Sus scrofa: one gene and its partner. The protein of the gene in region 1 binds, or shares a complex with, the protein of each later gene. Links are inferred from orthologs where the notes say so. Each region holds a gene or a part of one and is shown on either strand. Other genes may lie near its edges. The genes, in order: ITGB1 and FERMT2.

Evidence for each region.
Region 2: the proteins of ITGB1 (region 1) and FERMT2 are in contact, whole or in part, in a crystal structure (PDB 8TEE), measured with the Mus musculus proteins. The link is inferred for Sus scrofa from reciprocal best matches to the Homo sapiens genes ITGB1 and FERMT2. Residues at the interface, in NP_034708.1 of Mus musculus: Ala786, Val787, Thr788, Thr789, Val790, Val791, Asn792, Pro793, Tyr795, Glu796, Gly797; in NP_666166.2 of Mus musculus: Phe609, Ser610, Asn611, Met612, Lys613, Gln614, Trp615, Asn616, Val617, Asn618, Trp619, Glu620, Ala629, Asp630, His647, Ile654, Ser657, Thr658, Lys674, Leu675, Ser677, Gly678.

Annotation. Positions count from the first base shown.
Region 1 is NC_010452.4:56,127,447-56,131,730, forward strand, and holds the start of ITGB1 (integrin beta-1), read right to left. Parts: upstream 3,066-4,284; 5' UTR 2,923-3,065; intron 1-2,922.
Region 2 is NC_010443.5:182,604,032-182,608,465, forward strand, and holds the start of FERMT2 (fermitin family homolog 2), read right to left. Parts: upstream 2,860-4,434; 5' UTR 2,584-2,859; intron 1,990-2,583; exon of another isoform or gene 1,881-1,989; intron 1,543-1,880; exon of another isoform or gene 1,335-1,542; intron 928-1,334; 5' UTR 919-927; coding exon 762-918; intron 1-761. UniProt on the Homo sapiens protein: Scaffolding protein that enhances integrin activation mediated by TLN1 and/or TLN2, but activates integrins only weakly by itself. Binds to membranes enriched in phosphoinositides.

The DNA of each region.
Region 1 (4,284 bases):
TAAAATATGTTTTAATATATATGTATTATAAACAGTCTATTTTCTTCCCACACTCCAGTGAGTTATTTCATACAGCCCGAGGGTCCAGGAAGCAGCACTCTGGAGACTGCATAATGAGACTAGGCCTATAATTACGTGTGTGTTTATATACGTATGTACTAGGTATATTCAAAGCAGTTTTTCACACATTACATGATGACATGATATACACATGCTTCAGCACCATGCTAGATACAGTTAACCTTGTCTTCTAAAGCCACAAACCAAAAATACAGCTTTAAGGCAGTTGACTTTTATTTTATATATAAAACTTAACTCTGTGTAAGATAATTAGTCTTAAAAAAAGATGAGAAATTCACAAAGTATAGCTTGGCTCCTTTTGCATACATCTTCTGAAAAAGATATACTACATTTTTTCACTCATCTATTGAAATATTCTAAGGCTGGGGTTTATAGGGATTGCACTTCCTTTAGCCTAGATACATACTCTTAATGTATGCAGTTTTCTACAGCTATAGATGCTGCTATCATTTCAGGTTCTAAAGACTAATATACTCTTCCCTACTCTCACGCCTGTCGGCGCATCCTCCCTACCCCAATACCCCCACCTGTGCAACAATATAAAAGGACAAAAACCCCACAACACATCACAGTCAGAGTAGACCTGCTAATACAACAAGACATTTACCTACGTGCACAATATGATCTTCTAGGAATCTACTCACAACCAGACAGATCCTACCTCTCCATCCAGAGTGGGGCAATCAGTCCCTATGAATCCTCTCAGATAACTAATTCAATTTCTTACACATTCAGAAATGTCCATTCTCAGAACTCAAAAGTTCTGAAACTTTTACCAGAGAGATGTGTCCTCTCATCATTCCAGCAGAGAACAAACCAGTGTCCTTGTGAAATAATTAAAAACATATATTTCCTTCAGATAGAATATTACCCCTTGATGATAGAAGCCACAATTTGGCAAGAAACCAAACAATAAAGCTACTAAGTGGCCATCATTCCATGAAAACTAGCACCACCTTAAACTGATTTTCACTATTTACAGCCCCAGAGTCCCTCCAGGAGTTAGGAATTCATCCACCCCATTAAAGAAATACATGTGATGCTAATTTGGGGCAGCTTTTAATTATACCGACCAGAAAACTGAGGAAAAAGCCACCTGAATCCAGTGATTTTCAGTATTGCTGATTCGATTCTTTTCACATGCAGGATGTTGACGGGATTATAAAACAATCTTAATATAGAGTATTTTTTAACATTCTTCTAAAAGGAATCAACATTACAAAAGCTTAAATGTTTAGGTCTGTGACCTCAACACAGATGACTTGATTTGGAGTTTGTTTTCTATTTACAGAAGTAAAGTATTAACCACATCCCCTATCTTTTAAACTAGCATTCTAACATCTTCCATTTTATACTGAATTTTAGGGTGAGTAAAATGTCTTGTCTCCTCAGACATCTATAACCAGAACACTGATTTGTTTCACGTGTTTTCTATTTATTAATCCTCTTCACTCATTTATTATTAAACAAGGGACTAAAATTATTTTCAAATATGAACATTACAGTAGGACTCTTAAATAAGCCCTGACCCTCCCTATGGCCTTGATATTCACAGACTTAGAATAGGTAACTTGCAACTAAAATCCCTTAATCATTTCTCAAGTGGTCTATTTATGCAACCTGTTGGAAAGGCTGCATGCAGTTGAAGAAAGATGCCTCATCAAAACATTTAGCATTGGTTATTTTTGTACCACCAAAACAATAAAAAATAACATTCCAGTAACTCTACTCCCCTAAATATTTATGTGGAACGCAGACTCCAAAACGCCTTACTAATGATGCTATCAACTACAGGCATACTTTAAAAAAAAAAAAAAACAAGAAGGAACGAAAAGGAGTTGATATTTATTGAGCATCTACTCTAAGCTAAGTGTTTTCCATTTTCCATTAGCTTTTCACTACACGGTACTTATGCAAGGTTACTTGTGGTTCAAACAACGTCTGCTAGACCCCATGGGTTCTCCTCACTACAGCTGGATGATCACCCAGGCTCCTGGTGTGTCGGTTTCAATTGGAAAACAGGGATAAAAACAGCATATACCTGGTCGGCTCAGATCCAGGGTTAAACGAGAAAATACAGGTGAAGTGTGTAGAGCTAAGCATGGCCCTCACTTATGCCGTTATTATAACAATTACGTTTTCTTATTAGTGTCGGTATTGCTCCCATTTTACAGCAGAGGAAATGGAACCTTAAAGAGTCTAATTTACTAGGGACCAAACCAACCAGCGCTAGATTTTGATCCAAAACACACATCCGATAAAACAAGAATTACTTGGGCATTAAATACTGGCATTCTTAAAAATACGACTTGTTATGAAGCCTAAGCAACCGCACGAATCAGGCAGCGGCTGGGGTTAGCCCTTCGCACCGCCGCCCACAACCAGCCTCGGGGGGAAAGGGGCCCACAGGACGCCCGACCCCGCGCCCCTTCTCCGAGCAACGCCGGAGAGCTGGAGCCGAGGCGGAGCTGTCCCCGCGCGGAGGCCCGGCACCCGCGCGACCCGCCGCGTAAGGCGGCGGGGCCGAGGCCGCTCCCAGGACGCCGGCCCGCGAAGGCCTGTCGGCGCCCAGCCGGCGGGGTGGCGCCCACAGCGGGTGTCCGAGCGGCGGATCCTGGCCCCGGGCCTCCGCAAGCGCGGCCTCCCGCGGACAGCGTCCTGGGCCGGCCCGCACCCTCCACCTCCCCCGGCCGGACAGTCGGAGAGCGAAGCCGGGAGCGGGCGCGGCCCGACTTCCTCCCCCGCCCGACGGCTGGAATCCGCCCCCAGGCCGCGGCCCCCACGCGCGCCCCGGGGCCCCGGGCCGGCAGCGCACCCAGCCCGCCGCCCGCCCGCGCCCACCTTCTCCCGCGGCGCCCGGCCCGCGCGGTCGGCTCCACCAGCGCTCCGCGACTCCCGCTCGGCCTGTCCGAGGGCTGGCGTGGCCTCCCCGGCTGCGGCGCGGGCGCGGCGGCGGCAGCTCCTCCTCCTTCGCGGGCGGGAGGAGGAGACTCGGCGACGCGGGGCCGCCTCCTGGCAGGAAACGACCCCCGCGGCACCGCCTCCTCCGCGCGGCAATCCAGCTCCTCAGGCCGCCGCCGCCGCCCTCTCCCTCCGGAAGCGCATTCCTGCCGGGCGGCGTCAGCCGCGCCCGCGCGGCGGGGGTGGGGGAGGGACGCGGGGTGGGAGGTGGAGGAGGGGCGGGGAGGGCGGCCGCTGGGACAAAGGAGCGGGCCTGCCGGGCGCCGGTGGTGGGGGTCTCTGCCGCAGCGTTCGCCGTGCCTCAGTTTCCTTAGCTGCCCAGGGAGGAAGGGTCTGCGCCGCCCAGCGCGCCTTAATCTCCTCCCGTGAGAAGTTCTGGAGCCTTCTTCCTGCCTTGTCTTAGGTGCTGCTTTCCTAAGGCCGCACGTCTGTCCTGCCCGGGACTGCCTGGTTTTGAACCTTGGAAGCCTTGCCTCCAGGGAGCCGCCGGAGACTCCCGCAAATCAAGACACTTAATCACGCACCTTGCAGGGCTTCCTGGGGCCCAAGACGTTTTCCTTTTGGAAGGGAAGGAGCTAAAGCCAGTATTTTTCTGGCGTGAGGATTTGCCTGACTTACGTCTTTGAGAAAGGGGGAGACTTAGGGAGGAGATGGGGACCCAGAAAGAGAAAAGTTTTAGAGAAAAAGTAAATTGGAGAGCAGCTTTTGTTAGGTTAATCTGGACGTCCGTTTATGGGGAACGCGGATGAGAAGGAAGTTTCCTCCTTGATACGGTTTCCGTTTATCCTCAGTTTTTTTAGTAGGTGGGCTGGGGGGCTGCAGAAGAAGGGACGTTTAAAACACGAGAAGAGAAACATTTCATTATGAGCAAGGCTGGGCACTTCTTAATCAGAGGAATGAAACCTGTGCCAACCGGCATCATACTGAAACCCAGTCACTTTGACTATGCTGCTGGCAGGCTGCCATCCTGTTAGCAGAAAATGTGCTTCGCCACGTGGTGAGCTGGAGCACCCTGTTGGGAATAGAACTCGAATTATGAGATTTGTGAAATGGAGAAGTAGTGTTTCATTTGGGGGAGATTAGAAGCCGCGATGCCCATTTAGCTGCCAACCTTAAAAGAAGCTCACACAATCCCATCTATGGAAACTTTGTTCATTGCTTACCAGCAAAATCAAATCTGTTGGTTAGGTAATCTCTGGGAACCTCTAAAGAAATGGGAATGATTTTTCCCGTTTAATAGAT
Region 2 (4,434 bases), on another chromosome or scaffold:
GAGCCAGCTCTGCGACCTACACCATAGTTCACGACAATGCCGGATCCTTAAACCACTGAGCGAGACCAGGGATTGAACCCTCGTCCTCATGGATACTAGTCAGGTTTCTTACCCCTGAGCCACAGAGAAAATTCCTCACTAGCTTGTTATTTACTTACATAAAACCGCTCAAAATAGCTTAAAGACTAGACTACAGATAGTCAAAAAATGCCCCACCCCTGAAAGAGTGGATGACTGGAACATTTTAATATACTCCATCACGTAGCAGTACAGCTACAAAACCATCATACTGGCGCCAGAAGTTGCACATTTTCCGGCAGAATTTGTTCTTAAATAGATTTTACATCATCCTCAGAACCAAATGTCACCAACATTCAGGTACACTGATGATAGTAATCGATAACCACAAACCCTGTGATATAATCTTCTCAATATTCACTTGCCCACTTTTCTCATTTCTTTTAATGTGAAATCGCTAAATGTAAAGAATTAGGAGTTTTCTTAGGTAATTAAGTTTATTAACTGGGAGGCTGGAATTACCACGTTATGAAAACTTCAAAGAATAACAATACAAAACAAGATTCAAAGGGAAAACGCTCTAAATACTGAAAGATGTTACACTTTTTTAAAAACAGTATTTTCGGGATGCCAAGGAAGATTTCCAAAACTCACCCCTCCTCCCGCCTTAAGTTCCCCCACCCGCCGCCCGCCGCCTCTAGTCTGGTAAGTCGTTACTCTGACGCGGCTGGGATGCTACTTACCGAGTTTTTCCACCAACTTGAGCATCACCCCTCCAATGTGCACCTCCCCGGTCACTCTTAGGGTGACATCGCGGTTCAGGTCCGTCACATGAACGCTCAGTTCCCACGTCCCATCCGCATAGCAGCCATCTGGCATCCTTATCCCGTCCAGAGCCATGGCTCCTTCCTGCGAGCACGGAGGAAATGGCTCTCGTCAGCGTCACTCCCCCAAAGGAAGGCAAATCCCACCGAATTCGCAGAGTCGGCCGCGGGGTGGGAGAAGGTGGAAGACACGAGGGTTTCCGCACCAACTCGGGAGAGCGGCCGCAGGCCCTGCTGCGGGCAGGATTCTGCGCCCCGCGCCGCTTCCCGGCGGCCGCTCCACGCTCCCGCCCCGCCGCGGCCCTTGGCGGACGCGGCGCAGCCCGCCCGCCAGCCCCGCGCGGCCTCAGGCTAGCGGCCCTCGCCTAGCGGACCGCGGCGGGCTTCACCTGCCTGCCGGCCGCACCCAGGGCGGGAGACGCCGCCCGCGGACTGCACAGTCCGCTCCCCCACCCGCCCTCCTCCTCAGTCCCCGCCGGCCCGGCCCCTCACCGCGCGTTCCTCCAGCTCCTCGCGCTCCCAAGCCCGGGCTCGCGCTGCAACAGGCGCGGGGGCGGCGGCTCGCCGAGCGGCGGCGTCGGGTCCCCACCTCAGCAGGCAAGCGCTGCCTCCCGGCCGGAGCGACTAATGGAGTCCGCTCTTCACGGCCCCTCGCCTCTCCCTCCGTGCTCCACCCCTCTCTCCCCGCCCCCTCAATCCCAGTCCAGCTCAGGCCGGGCGCGCCAGCTCCCTCCTCCCCGCCCCGCGGAGCTGCCCGCAGCGGGTCCAGCCGCCTCGCCCCTCCCCCACAGTCCCCAGCGGCCCCGCTGGGGGCCAGAGCCGCTTGGACTCCCGGGTGGGGGGCGGGGCGGCGCACGGCGGGGGAGCGAGCTGTGCGGGGGAGGCGGGGGGCGCCCGCGGTGGCAGCAATCTCGGCCCCGCCGATCCGCTGCCCTTTTATGGAAATGAAGGACCCGGCGTAGGGATTGAGTCCAACATCCGGGCTCTCGCCGGCGGGACCTGAGGAGGGGGAGCTCGGGGAACGCAGAAGCCTCCTACCCAGCGCGGGTGGGCGCTGGGCGCTCCTTGCAGCGCTCGGGTCTCAGGCTCGGCGAGCGCCCGCGGCGGCGGGTGTCTTGGCTTCCAGCTGGATGAGGGGGCCGGTCCGTGAGAAATGGTTACAGGAAATTCCCAGGACAAGGTCGTTTTCAGGGAACAAAGTCCCCCGCCCCCTCCCCACGTCTGGAGCGAGCCCAAAAGTCTCGGGGCGATGAGAGGTGCCGCTCTCCGGGAGCTGGAACTGGGGGTTGGGGACATAAAAACTTTTAAAAAGTAAATGCCCAAGCCAGCTCCGTGAACATCCGACAAAAGAATGAAAAAACCCAAAGGGAGTTGAACCACAAAAATTGCTTTGCAAGCAATGTCCGGCACAACCAGCAACTCCTACTGGACTCCTAAGAGTTTGCTTGCGCTCTTAACCCATTAGGAAGCTCCAACCAGAAGTGAGTCACATAGGTTCTACGATGCTCGTATGGGGGGGGAGTGCAAATCAGGGAAGTGAGTTTTATTCGAAAACTGTTTCTGCAGCCTCTTCAACTCTGTACGTATTTGTATGTTTTTAAATATGCAATTTAGAACTAACAGTCTACTAAGGCGTTTAGATCGATATACATCCTCTACCCCACCCTCAGCCACACCTTGAAGGAATTTTAATAGCTCCGGACCGGGGCCAGCAGGTACTGGAAGAAATAAAGAGCTTTACCTGTTGACGCTGACCAGTGATGGAGAACGGTCCTCCTGCTCCCAATTTTCTTCCACTTCCCCCTTTTACTGCCACACTCTGGGGAGAGGGAGCCAGTCAGAAGCAGCTAGCGGGGGAAAGTGCCTCGCTGGCAAAAGCATGGCTCAACAAATTTAAGTCAGGGAGACTCGGATAAAATGTCCCAGATTCCATAAAAGACCCCAGTTTTTAAAAGTCTCAAAGTCTTCTTGAACCTGTGTCAGTCTCTTCGAAGAGGACCTCCCCCTCCCCGCAAACAACGATGTGTTCAGCAACACAATTGGGAAACGAGGTTAGAGGCCTCAAGAAAGGGGTGGAACCCATAAAAGAATGAAAGAGAAGCAGCGAAATTTAGTCAGATGCCAGAGGTTTGGCACCAAAAATAGGGTAAAACACTACAGTATTTTCAGCTACTCATCATGGAGAAATTGATGCCTCGAGTCTGTAGTCTCTAATCTCTATTTCTACTCATGGATGTTCCAAATCATTCACTTGGAAGCAGTATGGACAACCAGAGAGGAGGGAACGTCTATGTAAATTGCGGTGTTGAAAATATCGAGGAAAATGTTTTTTAATAAAGTAGAGAAAAACTTGTTAGGGTTAAAAAATATGTACATGTAGTTGTAAAATCACGAGCATATTTTGTCTTAAATATTCAGAGCAGAGAAAAAAGACTGAAAGGAAATACACCAAAATATTAAGAAGCTCTCTGGTGTTGAGATAATAAGAGTTTTTTTTTGTTGTTGTTTTGTTTTTCCCTCTTCTTCATTTTCATTCAGGCTTTGCATTCAAGACTTGTCTGTTACTGCCTTGAATTACATTCAGCATATCAATTTCCATGGACATGCCATTACATTCAAAACGATAGACACAACTGATAGAGTAGCTATTGGACACCTGGACAGGACTTTTGGGGGTTTCCTTATGTGTTTTTTAAAATCCCCCAGTAAATTATAAGTTCTTGGATAGCAGGGACTTCAGATTCTTTGCACTGCACAAAGAAAATGGAAAACATGCTGGTATCAAATTAACACAGATGTCCAGGACACACTAGTTCTGCCCCATGGAGATATTTCAGTACCGGGGAAGTCCTGACTTGTAAATCTACATATTTATTTCTACACTTTATCCCCGCAGGGATGTGTGGCAATGTATAAGGATACATAAACTTTGAGATAGCATACATGGCACAAAACAAGGAGGAAAAAAAGGACAGGAAGCAAGGGTTCGAGATTTAAAATGGAGCCGGGAATGAAGATAAGAATTGTACCTTAAGACCTTTGCAAGTGCTCCCATAAGCTCCGAATAACTATGGTTTCTCAAACATGCCTTTCAGAACCAAAAATATGCACATCCTTTCCTTCCGACAAATTTGTCGAAGTCAACTGTCGTCTAAGAAACCATTTTACTACTCAGTTTCCACATTCTGGTTCTTGCCTCACTCTTCAGTGAGTTACTTTCTGAACAATCTCCCACCACCTCGCCGACTTCTCTGACTGCTGCCCACTTCTCTGAGTGTTTCCTAAAGGAGAGGGAGCAGGGGGTGGGATAACATTGCATATAACAGCCCCATTTCTTAGCATTTGAAACAGCTTAATTATTGCTTTATAAGAGACTTTACTAGTTTAGAAAATCAGCAGTTTGTGTCTGAGCCGTATAAAGCACAGGAAGCCAAGGACCTTCGAAAGAACCATTGGAGCAATAGATTGAGAAGGATGCAGCTGGTCTCTTTAGCCTTCTTTTTGAGTATTTCAAGCTGTTTCTTGCTTTGAAGATTAAAGAGGAGTCAGACTTGAATCTCTGAAACTGGGGATTTTTTTTCCTAGATTGTCA